Linked DNA regions of Arabidopsis thaliana. The protein of the gene in region 1 interacts with the protein of each later gene in a biochemical or structural test. Each region holds a gene or a part of one and is shown in the gene's direction. Other genes may lie near its edges.

Region 1 (3,787 bases):
ACGGAAGGCCACCCTGTTTCCGTCACCATCACCTTAACGCCTTTAAATCCGACGGCGGACAATGCCGCGTAAACGGCGTCTATTTGAGCGTCAAAGAGACTGTTGTACTTCAATCCGGTACCGGAATCTATATTCCCGGCGTTTTCTTTAAACAGAGCGTAGTCTAAAGAGATTTTATCGGCGTTTGCTGCGTAAGCGAAAAACGGATAAGCATTTACCATAAGATACGACGACGTTTGTTGAAGCAGAGCAAGCATTGGTTTAACAACCGGTTCGATTAATTCCGGTTTAAAAGAACCAGAGGAAGGCGGGTACGAATTAGCAAGCGCGCTAAGAGCAATAGGAGACGAGATCTTGATGGCTTTGTCGAGTTTATACTTAACCAGAGAGGTGTGAATGTTCTTCATCGCATTGACAAGATACGGCGTGATCGTCGGATCGACGAATACTTCGTTACCGACGGCGATAGCTTCGATCTCCGTCGCTGGGAAGTATGGCATTATGTGGGTTTTAATCCAGTTGTCGGCGAATGATTGGTGGGAGGCGGCGGAGGAGAGAAGCTCGTTAGGGAGAGCGACGATTACTTTGATTTTGGAATTTGCAAGTGCGGTTAGTACATTCTTATCGGTGTCGAAGATTTTGATACGGTTGATTCCTTGAGATTTCAGGAGGTTCACTACTTTCTCCGGCGACGGGAGATTGTTAGCTATCCGACCATAATTGACTCCGACCATTCCAGAATCTGTGGAAACAAAAACAAAAAAAACGCAAAATAAGAACAACGTAGTAGACACGGCAAATACAGAGACAGACATAGGTATATGAAGAGATTAAAAACTAACGTGCGTCAATGGCTGAGAGGAAGGAAAGAATCAGAAAATAAGGTAAGAAAGAAACGGCCATGGTTATTCTCGAGTGTATCTTCAGAAACAGAGCATTAAACGCATAGATGAGTGTCGTTTGATAGTTATGGAGACGAAGGAAAGTTTTTGTTGCGTTTGGGACGGAGCTGGTCTACAGTATTTATACGATTTAGGTGTAAACAAGTGCCAAGTGGGGGTTGTGGGATAACTAATAACACGGAAGAATAGCTGAAATAATAGATTTAACTAAAACTGTATAATTTTAAAGCTCTATTTATAGCAAAAAGTTTTACTTTACCATAATCTTCAGTTAAAGGAACTCTCTATAATTTTGATGTTTTTCTAACATATGAATGTTTTCATAGTTGATTTTGGTTATAACAGAAACCTAACAAAAACCTTGACTTTTATTGTTTCTTAAACAAGAGTCAAGACCTAGGTTCTTTATATGTTGCATTGCGCATATTTCGTTAATTCATCATCATTTCTTTCTTTTGTGAAGAGTGTGTGACAGACTTTATCTCCTTCAACTAATCTTTTTGTTAATACACAAAGTGACATGATTTATAGATTTAACAATTTATTTATTTCTTCTATGTCAAATTGTCAAGTCTTCAACAGATGATGAAATCATGGAGAGTGGTGGATAGGAGGACTCACGTCACGTGAGATCAGGAACTGCAACCTAAAATATTTAACCAAATGAAATTGTCTAGTGGGTTAGATGTGGCCCAATAAAAATATAAGCCCATTATAACGAAACGACAGATTTGAACATAACTAGCAGCCGTTGGATTAAAAGAGAACCTAGAGAGAATATGAACCGTTGGATAGATGCCCTACGATTTATGATAGAGAGGAATCCGATGCGTCCAAGTACAAAAGCCACGGCCAATTAGAGAGATTTTCAGAGTCAGTCTTTTTATATTCATCTCTCAGCATCATTCTTTGATTGTGTGAATCTCTCATCGTTCTCTCAAATTTCGTGTTTTTGTAACCGGACGGAGAACCTTTCACGATGTCTGCAAACCAGGAGGAAGACAAGAAGCCAGGAGACGGAGGAGCTCACATCAATCTCAAAGTCAAGGGACAGGTATCTCTCTTTCTCCTTCTCATCCTTGTGTGTTCTTGTGAATGTTTGGGTTTCTGATTTCGTGTAGCTGCGATTAGGGTTTTTCATTCTCCAATTTGGTTTAATTTTAGGGTTTCGTACTACTAGCTCAGTCTTAATGGTCTTCTTCCTCTTTTGTTTTACAGGTTTAAAGTATCCTGCTTTATGTTTACACGTTTGCTTGTTTTTGCTAATTGTTTATCAAATTTCTGAAATTATATAAGTCTTGTTTAGGTGTAAGTTGTTATTGAGCTTTTGGTTCCTGTTGTTGTTTGAGGGTTTTATAGTTTTGGAAGGGATAAGTTTACTTAGTTGTTGAATGTTCTAAAGACTGTGAACGATGCTGTCTCTGTACTAAGTTGTTATATATCTTCTGATGAAGTTGTAGTCTCTGTACTAAGTTTTCAATTAGTTTGGCTGATGTTTGTGCTTCAAATTCTCATAGACGAAGCCTTAAACTGAATGTTTGTTGATATGTGTTTAATTTTTCGACTCTTTCAGGTTACTACCAAAAGAGAGCCATGTGATTTAGTTATTGTTTCATATGCGGTCTCTAACGTTTATTGTTCCTTCTATATGTTTGTTTTATAGGATGGAAACGAGGTTTTCTTTAGGATCAAGAGAAGCACTCAGCTCAAGAAGCTGATGAATGCTTACTGTGACCGGCAATCTGTGGACATGAACTCCATTGCTTTCTTGTTTGATGGGCGTCGTCTTCGTGCTGAGCAAACTCCCGATGAGGTATAACATTCATTCTACATGCTTTATTTCTTACCTTTTGAAGTTTATAGTTTCTGATACTAATAATTCTTGACACTACAGCTTGACATGGAGGATGGTGATGAGATCGATGCGATGCTCCATCAGACTGGTGGCAGCGGTGGTGGTGCTACGGCCTGACACTTCGTCCAGGTTTAGGGCTTGTGTGTGATATGAATGGTTAAGGAGTAATCGGCATTAGGATTTGCAGACTTGTTTTTTTATCGTGACCATTCTCTTTAGAAACTAAGTTATTATGGTCACGAAGGTTAAAGAACCCTTTGGTTGATTTTTTGTCTTGTTCGTTTGGTATCGGATCCTATGATACTACTATTTCGGCTTAAAGGTGTTATTAACCCAATTATCTAAAGTTTGTTGGTATGGTAACGGTAAAAAGCTATTAATTATTGAAAGTGTGACTCTTAACATATACGTAGCTCATTGAGCTAATGGCGAGCAAAGATAAAATCCATCTAGTCAACTAAACAAAATATTACTTAAACATGAACTAGCATCGAGTTAGTGAATTATAGTCTATAGAGGACGACTTCATAACCAGAGCTTGTGGTGGTTATAGACAAGACAATAATCAGTATTATTACTCTCTCTCGAGTCTCGAGCTGTAAAAACTAAGTGTCTGAATCTTAACATGGTTGTTGATGGTAGAAAGACTTGGTTACAAGTAATTAGTTGGCTGAACCTGAACCCCTTCTTAAGACATATCCTTTGAATAATCAAATCTATACAAATAATAATCATATTAGTGAAGAACATATATAATTCATAAACACCAACTCATAACAAAAAACAAAGAACCAGAAGTCTAGGCACAAAATGCCCACAACCATCATACATAAACCAAGAAGCTTCAAATGCAACTACAAAGAGAGTTTGCTTATTTAGGCTTTTAATTATACATACAAACCACCAAGTCACCATATTGTTCACTGAAGGACAAGGCACTCGGCGGCCGTCCCATTTGTGATCGGACCTCCATGGGTTCTGTTGCTTTTCTGGTTAACATTGCCACTAGAGTTTTGCTGATGAACTATGG
Region 2 (7,044 bases), on another chromosome or scaffold:
TTAGAGGGTCCAGTTATATGATGAAGTGTGGTATTTCTTAACTTCTTTGCAAATTTTAATTATCTATTGTTTACTTCTATAATAAACTACTCATGCTGACTCGGTCTAGTCATTATTTCATTGTTTCGTACAGAAATTCACTAGTAATTTTGTATGTTATATTTTTAATTTTATAAACGAATATAGAATGTTTTATTTCTCTTTAACATTTCTAAAAGTCATGGATCATTCAAATCCGTATATATTAGTATTAAGCAACTAATTCGTTTTAATTTATAGATCCTCAAGTATAGATACATATAAGGCTGCATTATTTTCCTTGTGTGGACGATGACTTGACATCTCAATTAATTGTTATGGGAAGATAGGTATTTTTGAATATGAAACATTATCCAGGACACTTTTGATAAATCTTTTCTTCGACTTTTCCGACCTCCCGGCAAATAATTTGTCATGTATGTACGCTCGATACTATGAAATAAAAGATGAATTTATTTCAATCATTGATATGAGATAGATGGGGGGAAAATAATAAACTAAATACATACAATAGAGTATTTTTGAAATAAATTCATATTACCAACTAACATCTTAAAGATGTTGCATTATTCTTTGGTCAAATATTGGTCTACTTGATGATTCCGTATGGCGTAAGATCAGTGCCGCGTAATTTGATTAACTAAGATTGTTTTAAATTTCTGTAAGAGATTACAATTAAACTAAACTTTTTATATGGGGTTGAGTCGTTGACTATATGTGCCTGACCATCCATTATTCGACAACAACGTATTCACTTCATTTGGATGATACTCAGTCAATTAAGCAACATATTGGCTCCGTTTTTATCCAATTTGATTAAGTAAAAAAAAAAAATGTTTCAGATAGTGTAAGAAGCTACGAAGAATTTATGGGTATGACTGAAAGTTGAAACTTTCTAAAGCCATCACAATTGTATACTTTACAAAATATTAAGATACATTGCTGTCAAATTTTATAGTTTTTTCTCGTTTGGAAAATATCAAAATATATACCTAAAACCATAAACTATATGCTGTCTTTGTTAGTCAACATTATTAATTTGAAAGATATTAAAATATCTCATTCATAAATACAAATATATAATTTTAAATATCTTTTCATATTATTTATTAAATAAATTTGATTTTCTTTTTATTTAATATATTTTTTCGTAAACCAAATTTTTTTCTTACATCATTTTTTCATAAAAATTTGCTTTTGACGTAACATATTTTCTGCTCGCATAGCGCAGAAAATTACCCAATTATTTTTAAAATATCTCATTCATAAATACAATAGTATTTTAACTATCGACATTATTATGCTAACAATAACAAACAGAAGACATTACTAAAAATCAACTCTATATTACCAATAGTGTGCCTAACGATATTACCATGTGTTTGCTCAAAACAAAAAGCTCACGGTTTTCCTTACTCTCTTTTTCCAATTATTTCCTAATCTTATGGATAAACTCTTTTGAAAATTCATCTAAATTCATTTTTCTTTTTAAAATATGTAAAATGCGAACAAAGATTACAATTCCGTATGGATACATTGTACCTCTCAAAAGAATCTGAATATTTTTAGTTGGTATATCCACTATCCCATGCATTAGATGACACTAGCTGATAATAAATGTGTATGTCAAAAAATGCATAGTAATTAGTAAAGATACTCTTGACTCAAATAAACTTTTGATTTCATAAAATCTTAACATATTAATGGGATAGTTACAACTGTAGATGATGATATAACAGAGATAAACACGGAAGTGTCAAAATCATAGGTTTAAAAAAATAAAATAAAAAGTGTCGAAATCGTCGGACTCAAAAATGTATTTAAATACAGTTAAGAAAAAACCTCTTTAGCCACATCAATCATTCTCATCCTTTCTTGTCTTCTCTGATATTTTTTTTTCTCCACCATTATTGTTTCTTCTCTCTCTCTATTAAACCCTCAAAATTAAAAAATAAAGAGACAAGTTCAATTTTTCTTCCTTCTTCTCTTTTTTTTTTCTTCTCAATTTTAATTTTATTTTGGTTGGTAGAGATTCTCTCTTTTGCTCTTCGTGCTTTGTATCGTGATCATCGTCGGTGTTGGTAACTGCACATTTCAGGTATTTACTCTTACCTCCTCACTTTCGCAACAAATTTTGATTTCTGGGTTTTTCATGTTTTTCTTCTTCAATTGATTGGGTTTTCTACTGAAAATTTTCAACTTTTTTTCTGGGTTTTTGTCTAAAGTCTAAAACCCCTTCTTAAAGGGTTTCTTCTCTTTTGTTATGTCGGCGATTTCGATCAATAGTGTCTCTGAAAGTTTTCAGCTTTTTGATGATCGGAGATTATAAGAAGTAAATTGGGTTAGTTTCTTTTTACCTAGTAACCTAGTTCTGTGTTGGTTTGATCTTCTTAATGAGTTTAATCATGTTATTTGTTCAACGATCTTCTTAATTTTGATGTTAATTGAGTTAAAGCTTCATCATTTGACTATTGTGTTAGTCAAATGCTCAACTTTTAGACTTTCGAAAAAAAAAGATTACTTTCACGACTTTTGTTTGATCAAAACTTGTGGTTTTGTATTGATCAAGCTTTTTTGTTGGTTTTAGGTTATGGTTTCTTGCTTGCATGTTAATTTTTCAGCACATGACTTGAGATTTCAAATGTGTTGTCTACTCTTGTATCTCGATTCTCAAAGTTTATCTGACCTGTGAAGATTTTACATGTGATTATTATAAATGTGAGCTAATGCGTTTATTCTCTTTTAATTTTGCAAAGCAGATCAAAAGAAAGAAGTTGCTAGAATGGATATTCCACATGAAGCAGAAGCTGGAGCTTGGGGGATTCTCCCTGGTTTTGGTCGTCACCATCATCCCTCCAGTGATGCTACTTTGTTCTCCAGTTCTTTACCTGTTTTCCCCCGTGGAAAACGTATTAACCGAATCCCTTACTCGTTTATATATGGCTTTCTTCTCTCTTTTGCTGACAAGTTTTACTTCTTTTGCAGTGCAATTGAGTGATAACAGAGATGGTTTCTCACTGATAGACGATACGGCTGTTTCTCGCACAAACAAGTTTAACGAAAGTGCTGATGACTTTGAATCTCATTCCATTGGAAACCTGCTCCCTGATGAAGAGGATCTTTTGACAGGGATGATGGATGATCTTGACCTGGGGGAGTTACCAGATGCTGATGATTATGATCTTTTTGGTAGTGGAGGAGGAATGGAACTTGACGCTGATTTTCGAGACAACTTGAGTATGAGTGGTCCTCCAAGGCTATCACTTTCAAGTCTTGGTGGAAATGCAATTCCGCAATTCAATATTCCAAATGGTGCAGGAACAGTTGCTGGTGAGCATCCTTATGGTGAACATCCCTCGAGAACATTGTTTGTCCGGAATATTAACAGCAATGTAGAAGACTCTGAACTCACAGCTCTCTTTGAGGTAACTTCAACAAAACTTGACCTGACACTGTTGGATTTTTTATAACAAACTTACTCTACAGACACTGATGGGTTAACTTTTTTGTGATATGTGGCAGCAATACGGTGATATTAGAACGCTCTATACCACTTGTAAGCATAGGGGATTTGTCATGATATCTTATTATGACATTCGTTCTGCTCGAATGGCTATGAGGTCTTTACAGAATAAGCCATTAAGACGTAGAAAATTGGACATTCACTTCTCAATTCCAAAGGTTTGCTGATAGCTCTTTGTTAACAATGTCATCGATTCTTAGTTGCACCCCTAGTTTGTTTATATTGAGCCTGTTTCCTGTGTAATTTGTAGGATAATCCATCTGAGAAAGATATGAATCAGGGGACATTAGTGGTGTTTAACCTGGATCCTTCAATTTCTAATGATGACTTACATGGAATTTTTGGTGCTCATGGCGAGATCAAAGAGGTGATAGATATCATTCTGTTTATTTGATAGCTTTGAACTGGTTTGGAAGAAAAACATCCATATTAAGTTCTGTTTTCCTCATGAAAAACAGATAAGAGAAACACCACATAAGAGGCATCACAAATTCGTCGAGTTTTATGATGTCCGCGGTGCTGAAGCAGCATTGAAGGCATTAAACAGGTGTGAGATTGCAGGAAAACGTATAAAGGTTGAACCTAGTCGCCCTGGAGGAGCTCGTCGAAGGTTTCTTTCTTTCTTAGATCTGCTACATGAATAATGAATGCCATTACATTTCTTACATCTGACCATTTATTTGATCTGCTAGCCTGATGTTGCAACTTAACCAAGATCTTGAGAACGATGATTTGCACTACCTACCGATGATTGGTTCACCCATGGCAAACTCTCCCCCAAGTGAGTCTATTTCTTGATGCTCTTCTTCAAACAAATTTGTTTATAATATCCTCAAAGACTGAAACTGTTTGATTTAGTGCAAGGTAACTGGCCGCTGAACAGTCCCGTGGAAGGTAGTCCGCTTCAAAGTGTACTTAGCAGGTCACCTGTTTTTGGCTTAAGTCCTACAAGGAACGGCCACTTGTCTGGTTTGGCTTCTGCTCTAAATTCACAAGGACCAAGCTCGAAGCTTGCACCCATTGGCAGGGGTCAAATTGGTAGCAACGGCTTCCAACAGTCATCACATTTATTCCAAGAGCCTAAGATGGATAATAAGTACACAGGAAATCTCTCTCCTTCAGGTCCTTTGATCTCAAATGGAGGTGGAATTGAGACGTTGTCGGGTTCAGAGTTTCTCTGGGGAAGTCCTAACGCACGCTCTGAACCTTCAAGTTCCTCGGTTTGGTCAACATCATCCACTGGGAATCCACTCTTCTCAACTCGAGTAGACCGATCTGTTCCATTTCCACATCAGCATCAAAATCAAAGTCGTAGCCATCATCACTTCCATGTTGGGTCTGCACCATCTGGTGTTCCTCTAGAAAAGCATTTTGGATTCGTCCCAGAGTCTTCAAAGGACGCTTTGTTCATGAACACTGTTGGTCTTCAAGGAATGAGTGGAATGGGTCTCAACGGTGGAAGTTTCTCTTCCAAAATGGCAAATAATGGGATCATTAACTCTGGAAGCATGGCCGAAAACGGTTTTTCAAGTTACAGAATGATGTCTTCACCGAGATTCAGCCCCATGTTCTTAAGCAGCGGTCTAAACCCAGGGCGGTTCGCCTCTGGCTTTGACAGTTTGTATGAAAATGGTAGGCCTCGTAGAGTTGAGAACAATTCGAACCAGGTTGAGAGCAGGAAACAGTTTCAACTTGATTTGGAGAAAATTCTTAATGGAGAGGATTCTCGGACTACCTTGATGATTAAAAACATTCCAAACAAGTAAGCTTTTCCTTTCTTTATCTTTACTTCTCTTGAAATATACTTGGAATATGATGCAGCCAGATTACTGAATGAGTTTCTTTTATATCAACAGATACACCTCGAAGATGTTGTTAGCTGCAATCGATGAAAAGAACCAAGGAACTTACAACTTTCTCTATTTGCCCATTGATTTCAAGGTAAAAATTGATTAGAGATTCAAAGTTCCAAAATCACTAACTGATACAACGAGCGGTTAATAAATCTTTGGTTTTGCAGAACAAATGCAATGTGGGCTATGCATTCATCAACATGCTCAATCCAGAACTCATCATTCCATTTTATGAGGTTTCCTTCCCTCTCCGCTTTCTTTCTTATACTTTTAGCTAAGATCACTCGAAAGGTGAACTAACAAACATCCAATATTTGCAGGCTTTTAATGGGAAGAAGTGGGAGAAGTTCAACAGTGAGAAAGTAGCTTCATTGGCATATGCTCGGATACAAGGAAAATCTGCCCTTATAGCCCATTTTCAGAACTCAAGCTTGATGAATGAAGATATGCGTTGTCGTCCAATTATCTTCGACACTCCCAACAATCCAGAGTCTGTTGAACAGGTAAAGTTACTCTTTGGTCTGAAAGTTAATGCTAAACCTTATGGAAGTTAATACTGCATAATATAGTTAGCGATGATCTTTAGACTTATTACTCGGATTAAGTAGCTATGGTATTCTTGTTCTTCATAGGTTGTTGATGAGGAATCTAAGAATATGGACCTCCTCGACTCTCAGCTCAGTGATGATGATGGCAGAGAGAGAAGCTGACACAGGAGTTGAGAGACGACTCAATGTTGTGATAATGGCTGTTTTTTTTCTTTCTAAGTACTAATTTTTAACCGTACATATTGGTGAAAGGCAGAGTTAACTGATGCATGCAGGACCCTGCGGAAGTGTGTTTTCGAATTGCAGGTTTTAAATGCTGCATGCAGAAGCTGTGCGAGTATTTACTCTGTTTTTTTTTTTTTTTTTTCTTTCTTCATGTTTTTTGGTTCCATGGAGTATATGTAAAAAAAAAAACCATGAATACTCGGTTTTATGTGGGTATTATGTTGTAACTCTCACAACTCTTGTTAAAGCTTTTGGCAATTTGTACAGTAAGAAAAAAAGAATTGTCTCTCAAGTCTTTTTTGTCTTATTTTTTGGACAGAAGTCTGTCTTGCAAAAAAAAAAAAAAAACAGAGGCACAACATTTGAAAAGATGAAGATATACATCTGAAACTGAAATTAGTTATGTCGGTACCAATGAAATTTTGCGTTAAGCTTTACAATTATTTTATGATAAGACTTGCAATATATATAAATAAAAAAACTAGTGAAATTATCTATGATCGACATGAAATTTTGTCATGTTCCAATGAATTAGATATGGTAAAGCTGACGTGGTATCCTAAGTGGGGTGGATTTGAATTGGAGTTGATTCCAACGGTGGAGATTCAAAGATTCTTTGATTGATAGTGAGCGACTCTCGTTTTCCAATCACGTGTAACTCGGCTCCACTCTAAAGCACGAAATCAACACGTCCACGTAACGATCATATATTCATGCAGTGATATAGTCGTTTAACAGAAAGATCACTCCGTCAATCTTTCCACCACTGTGACTAAATCTAAACAATTTCATGGCGAGTCTCTGTCTCTCATCGTCCCGGATCGTTTCTCTTCACCACCAGAAACCATTCCTCTCT
Region 3 (5,254 bases), on another chromosome or scaffold:
ATAACTTGATCTACAAATTTTCTATAAATACGAAGATAAAAAGTCTACCCAATTAGCAATAATGAAATGGAGTTTTGTTTTTCCTAGTAACGATATGAAAATTTATTCGAATCAATCTTGTATTGTAATATTCGAAATTTGATCACCATGTTTTCATTAAGCAAAAATTCTCCGTTTTCACCAAGAGTCACTTAATGAACTTAGCCAGCTTTTACAATATAGTTCATTCAAGTTCTTTTTTTTTTTTTTTTACAATATAGTTCATTCAAGTTCTTTTTTTTTTTTTTTTTACAATATAGTTCATTCAAGTTCTTTTTTTTTTTTTTTTTTACAATATAGTTCATTCAAGTTCTAATTCGAGAATGTTCAAGTCATGTGATATATCAACGAGACTTGTTTTTATACGAAAAATGCTAATTTTAATAAAACAAAACTCAAATAACGTTTCTTTAGTTCGGGGAAACAGTCGAAAAATGATAAAATATGTTTCCTAAGAATCTTTATCAGTCGTGCCTCCAAGTGGGGATAATATAATAAATGTAATGAAAAAACTTTATTATATAGTATATATTTGTGATTTGGGGTGGTCTGAAATAAAGGTACTATATACTTATCCACATAATTGCACTTTTTCAATGTTAGACTTGGCGTTCAATTACTTCTTATCCACAATATTGCACTTTTTCCAAATCGACTTGGCGTTCATTAGTAACCACAACTTCTAACATCGACTTATTACAGCCACGTATCTCTGATATGTTGAAGATTTTATGACAAGAATATAGGCAAAAAAGAGGAAAGAAACTGAAGATCCACTATATAGTAAATACTTGTAGCTTCATTTAAAAAAAAGAAAGTGATTTCAATGTTAATTTATTTTTCCTACAAGTACCAAGCTAAAACTGTAACTAAATGACTATTATTATCAGCGTAAAAAAACACATACTCCTTTTGTTTTTTTTTTTTGATTTTCTAGAAAAAAATTGTTTCAAAAAGATTGATTTTTTGGTTTTCAATGCAATATTTATTTAGTTATAATTGATAAATTGTAAACTTCAATAAGAATTATTGAATATCATTGGTTTAGAGTTATTGAAAATTATAAATTACAAAGAATAATACATTTAAAAGCAACATTTAATATGTTTTCTTAATATTTGTGTTTTTCCTAAAAAATCAAAGAAAAAAGAACACAAGGAGTATCAATCTGTAAAATGGATTTGTTTGAAGACAAAGATTGGTTTTTTTGGGGATAAAATACTATATTTTTTTAGTATTTTAATTTTTTGTTGGATCTTCTTAGTTCTTTAAAAATGAGAAAATTAATGTTTATATCATGTAATTTGTTTCTTTCATAAATATGTTTTTTTTTTCTTTCTCTCCAAATCTAATCATGATATTGTTTTCCATGGATATGGCTATTATAGAAAGCTAGGAATTAAAAAGTGTTTCAAGGTTTTAAATATGTTTTTTGTTTGTTACTCTAAAGTTTGTTTTTTCTTCTGAAATTTCATTTATAAACAGTAATTTTTTAATAAATGTGTGGGTAACAAAAAATTTATTGACATAGTTAGAATTAGAAAACATGTAAATTAGAAGTTAAATGGCCTTTAATCAACCATTTTTACATTAATTTAAAAAAATTCAGACTTTTAAAATAAAAAAGTTAAAAATGAAAAGAAAAGTAAAAGTAAAAAAAAGTGCTGACCACTGACCAGATTGAAAAGGAAAATAAAAAGAAAGCCAAAAAGAGACGAAAAAGAGAAAAAAAAAAGTCCACAAAAACAAAAATAAACTTGTGGCTAAGAATCCTCACGTGTGATGACGTGGCACTCTGGGCGAATCAAAAGGTTGTACAATTCGAAAGATCACAAACCCAAAAAGCAAAATCTGTAAATCTTTTTTCTTTCTCTCTCGCAAAGACAAAAAAGCATTCCCAATTAACAAATCTAGAAATCAAAACTCAGACAACCACCGATAACAAGACAGTCGTTTCTCTCTCTCTTTTAAACAAATAAAAATTGGAACTTTTTTCCTCTGTCTTCTCAAAAAGTTTCCGCTTTTTGCTCGCTGGAGAAGAAAGAAAGAAAGAAGTGAAAAGGAATCATTACCATGGCTGATCCGGCGATTAAGCTCTTTGGAAAGACGATTCCTTTACCTGAGCTTGGTGTTGTTGATTCTTCTTCTAGCTATACCGGATTTTTAACCGAAACTCAGATTCCTGTTCGGTTATCAGATTCGTGTACCGGCGATGATGATGATGAAGAGATGGGTGATTCCGGTTTAGGACGAGAAGAAGGTGATGATGTTGGTGATGGTGGAGGAGAGAGCGAGACTGATAAAAAGGTTAGTTTTTTTTGGAACTTGTGAATTGATTTTGATTTGTTAAATGGAAATGATTGATGGGTTTATGTTAGATTGGTCAAATCTTAGTTTTATTGATAAAGTTATGATTTTTGGTTTGTTTATGTAAGAACTAGGTTTTCAGAGCTTTTGGGGATTCGAAAATTGTAAATCTGGATTCTCAAATGAGTTTTTTTTTTTCCTTTTGTTATAAAGTGATTTGAGATCTTAATTAGTTCCATTTGGTTTTGATTGATGGTTATAGGTTTTGATATTGATTTGCTTAAGAACTTTTCAGGGTTTTAGCTTCTCTGTGATTGGAATCAAGTCTTTGATCCCTGTAGCTTCTAGCTTCTGTTTGTTGTTTGTTTGATTAGGATACATAACAACGATCTGACTCTGGTTCTTATGTTATTCTTCAGGAAGAAAAAGATAGTGAGTGTCAGGAAGAGTCATTGAGGAATGAATCTAATGATGTTACTACTACTACATCGGGTATAACTGAAAAAACGGAAACAACAAAAGCTGCAAAGACGAATGAAGAGTCAGGTGGTACTGCTTGCTCTCAAGAGGGGAAGTTAAAGAAACCTGATAAGATTCTACCGTGTCCGCGATGTAACAGCATGGAAACCAAGTTCTGTTACTACAACAACTATAATGTTAACCAACCTCGCCATTTCTGCAAGAAATGTCAGAGATATTGGACAGCTGGTGGAACGATGAGGAATGTTCCGGTTGGTGCTGGGAGACGTAAGAATAAGAGTCCAGCTTCTCATTATAACCGTCATGTAAGTATAACATCTGCGGAAGCTATGCAGAAGGTGGCGAGAACTGATCTTCAACATCCTAATGGTGCAAATCTTCTCACTTTTGGCTCTGATTCTGTGCTTTGTGAATCTATGGCTTCTGGATTGAATCTTGTTGAGAAGTCATTGTTGAAGACACAAACTGTATTGCAAGAACCCAATGAAGGCTTGAAGATTACGGTTCCGTTAAACCAGACAAACGAAGAAGCTGGAACAGTCAGCCCGTTACCAAAAGTTCCATGCTTTCCAGGACCACCACCAACTTGGCCTTACGCTTGGAACGGAGTTTCGTGGACGATTTTACCGTTTTACCCTCCACCGGCTTACTGGAGCTGCCCGGGGGTTTCACCGGGGGCATGGAACAGCTTCACATGGATGCCACAACCCAATTCACCATCTGGTTCCAATCCAAATTCTCCTACACTAGGTAAACATTCACGTGACGAGAACGCTGCTGAACCAGGAACCGCTTTTGATGAAACCGAGTCACTTGGTAGGGAGAAAAGCAAACCCGAGAGATGCTTGTGGGTTCCCAAGACGCTGAGGATTGATGATCCAGAGGAAGCTGCTAAAAGTTCCATCTGGGAAACATTAGGGATCAAAAAAGACGAAAATGCGGATACTTTCGGAGCTTTCAGATCATCAACCAAAGAAAAAAGCAGTCTTTCTGAAGGAAGACTTCCGGGAAGAAGACCGGAGTTGCAAGCGAATCCTGCTGCTCTTTCTAGGTCAGCAAACTTCCATGAGAGCTCATAGAAAGAAGAAGAATCTAAGCAGCTGATTTGATTGTTTTTGGGTTCAGTCTTGTGTTCCAAGAAAGCAGGTGAGTCCTTTTGTACATATAGCTATATATACACACACATGTTTGTGTATATATATATAATGGTTGACATAGTGAGGGATAAGTAGTTTTTGGATTGCAGAGTGAAAGTTTGTTGTATCATAAATGAAAAAACCTCAAAACTGTAGTTAAATAAATGTATCTTGCATGAATAACTTATTTTCCCTATCATGACATTGTATGTTCACAGACAAATTCAAACAAGTTTAAAGGAACGTTTATAGTTATCCACATGATGTATGATTCTCAGAATCTTGAGAGTGATCTAACTTATTGGACTTCAGTAGTAGTGGCAGCAACAAGCTTGTTTTCGGCATCCGCGGAGGAGCGAACCACTGTCTTCAACTTCTTAGATGACCGCGATGTCAAGTGTTTACCATGGTAAATCAGGTTTGCTTTAGTAGATGTGTAGTCATTCTTATAACCAGTCCAAAAATCACCCAACAAAGACATGAACCAAGTCTCGAAAAAGCAAGCCGCGATCACCAATACTGCGAAAATAACGCAAACACAGCTTCTTCACTGCAAGCAAATGGTCATGGTTGATGCATGAATGGAGAGTCTATTGACAACATACATAAGCAAAAGCAATGTGGTAGATGCATGAAGAGAAGATATTGCAAGCTGCCAACTACGGTTCGATATTTGTATAATCTAGGATTAAAAATATTAAAGAAACCACACTAAATGGATTGACAAAGTCAGCTATATCAGAAGATTTATCGTCTATTGACCAAAACAACCAATGAAAGAACATTTTGATACTATATTAAGAGATAAGTAGTAAATTAATATAGAAGAAGTTTGTGAAAAACGCCAAAAGAAAAAGAAAGCCACTACCTTGTTTGTTCAGTTGCAATTTCCAGGAAATTTAGTAAGGAAATTAGTTGCAATTGTGACATTAAATTCGTGTTAGTCTTTTTCATGACTAGAACAATAAGAGTACTATTGAATTAGTCATCGTTTAATTGATTTCTTACGTTTGGTCAAACAAGTCACGGATTATGGTGAGAAAACGATTACTTAATTGTGGAAATTAGCTATAAGAAATTTTCCTTTGCTTTTTATGTTTTTCTTAGTCTACTTGTTTGTCTCGCTGCCTTACTCTTGCAAAATTTATACGAAATTTCGTCTGAATATTTTACATAAAGTAAAGTAAGTATTCATATGAAATTTGTATCAAAATTTGTCAAGACTAGTAAGAATGAACTGAACCACACAATACAACAATTCAAACCATGACCAAAAATATGTCGATTTGGTT

The links.
Region 2: the proteins of SUMO1 (region 1) and ML5 form a complex in vitro, tested with the Arabidopsis thaliana proteins (one study listed by BioGRID).
Region 3: of the proteins of SUMO1 (region 1) and CDF2, one has a biochemical effect on the other in vitro, tested with the Arabidopsis thaliana proteins (one study listed by BioGRID).

The regions. Positions count from the first base shown.
Region 1 is NC_003075.7:13,495,585-13,499,371, forward strand, and holds SUMO1 (small ubiquitin-like modifier 1), read left to right. Parts: upstream 1-1,702; 5' UTR 1,703-1,881; coding exon 1,882-1,956; intron 1,957-2,565; coding exon 2,566-2,715; intron 2,716-2,796; coding exon 2,797-2,874; 3' UTR 2,875-3,236; downstream 3,237-3,787. Other genes in the region: AT4G26830 (O-Glycosyl hydrolases family 17 protein), read right to left, coding at 1-815; VTC2 (GDP-L-galactose phosphorylase 1), read right to left, coding at 3,678-3,787. UniProt on the Arabidopsis thaliana protein: Ubiquitin-like protein which can be covalently attached to target lysines as a monomer. Does not seem to be involved in protein degradation and may function as an antagonist of ubiquitin in the degradation process.
Region 2 is NC_003070.9:10,289,474-10,296,517, reverse strand, and holds ML5 (MEI2-like protein 5), read left to right. Parts: upstream 1-1,887; 5' UTR 1,888-2,137; exon of another isoform or gene 2,138-2,380; intron 2,381-2,795; exon of another isoform or gene 2,796-2,798; 5' UTR 2,799-2,821; coding exon 2,822-2,948; intron 2,949-3,024; coding exon 3,025-3,464; intron 3,465-3,561; coding exon 3,562-3,720; intron 3,721-3,812; coding exon 3,813-3,929; intron 3,930-4,020; coding exon 4,021-4,172; intron 4,173-4,254; coding exon 4,255-4,343; intron 4,344-4,420; coding exon 4,421-5,324; intron 5,325-5,418; coding exon 5,419-5,503; intron 5,504-5,582; coding exon 5,583-5,651; intron 5,652-5,735; coding exon 5,736-5,918; intron 5,919-6,047; coding exon 6,048-6,125; 3' UTR 6,126-6,520; downstream 6,521-7,044. Other genes in the region: COR413IM1 (COLD REGULATED 314 INNER MEMBRANE 1), read left to right, coding at 6,979-7,044. UniProt on the Arabidopsis thaliana protein: Probable RNA-binding protein that plays a role in meiosis and vegetative growth.
Region 3 is NC_003076.8:15,876,808-15,882,061, forward strand, and holds CDF2 (cycling DOF factor 2), read left to right. Parts: upstream 1-1,918; 5' UTR 1,919-2,112; coding exon 2,113-2,346; intron 2,347-2,765; coding exon 2,766-3,905; 3' UTR 3,906-3,972; exon of another isoform or gene 3,973-4,274; 3' UTR 4,275-4,730; downstream 4,731-5,254. UniProt on the Arabidopsis thaliana protein: Transcription factor that binds specifically to a 5'-AA[AG]G-3' consensus core sequence. Regulates a photoperiodic flowering response. Transcriptional repressor of 'CONSTANS' expression.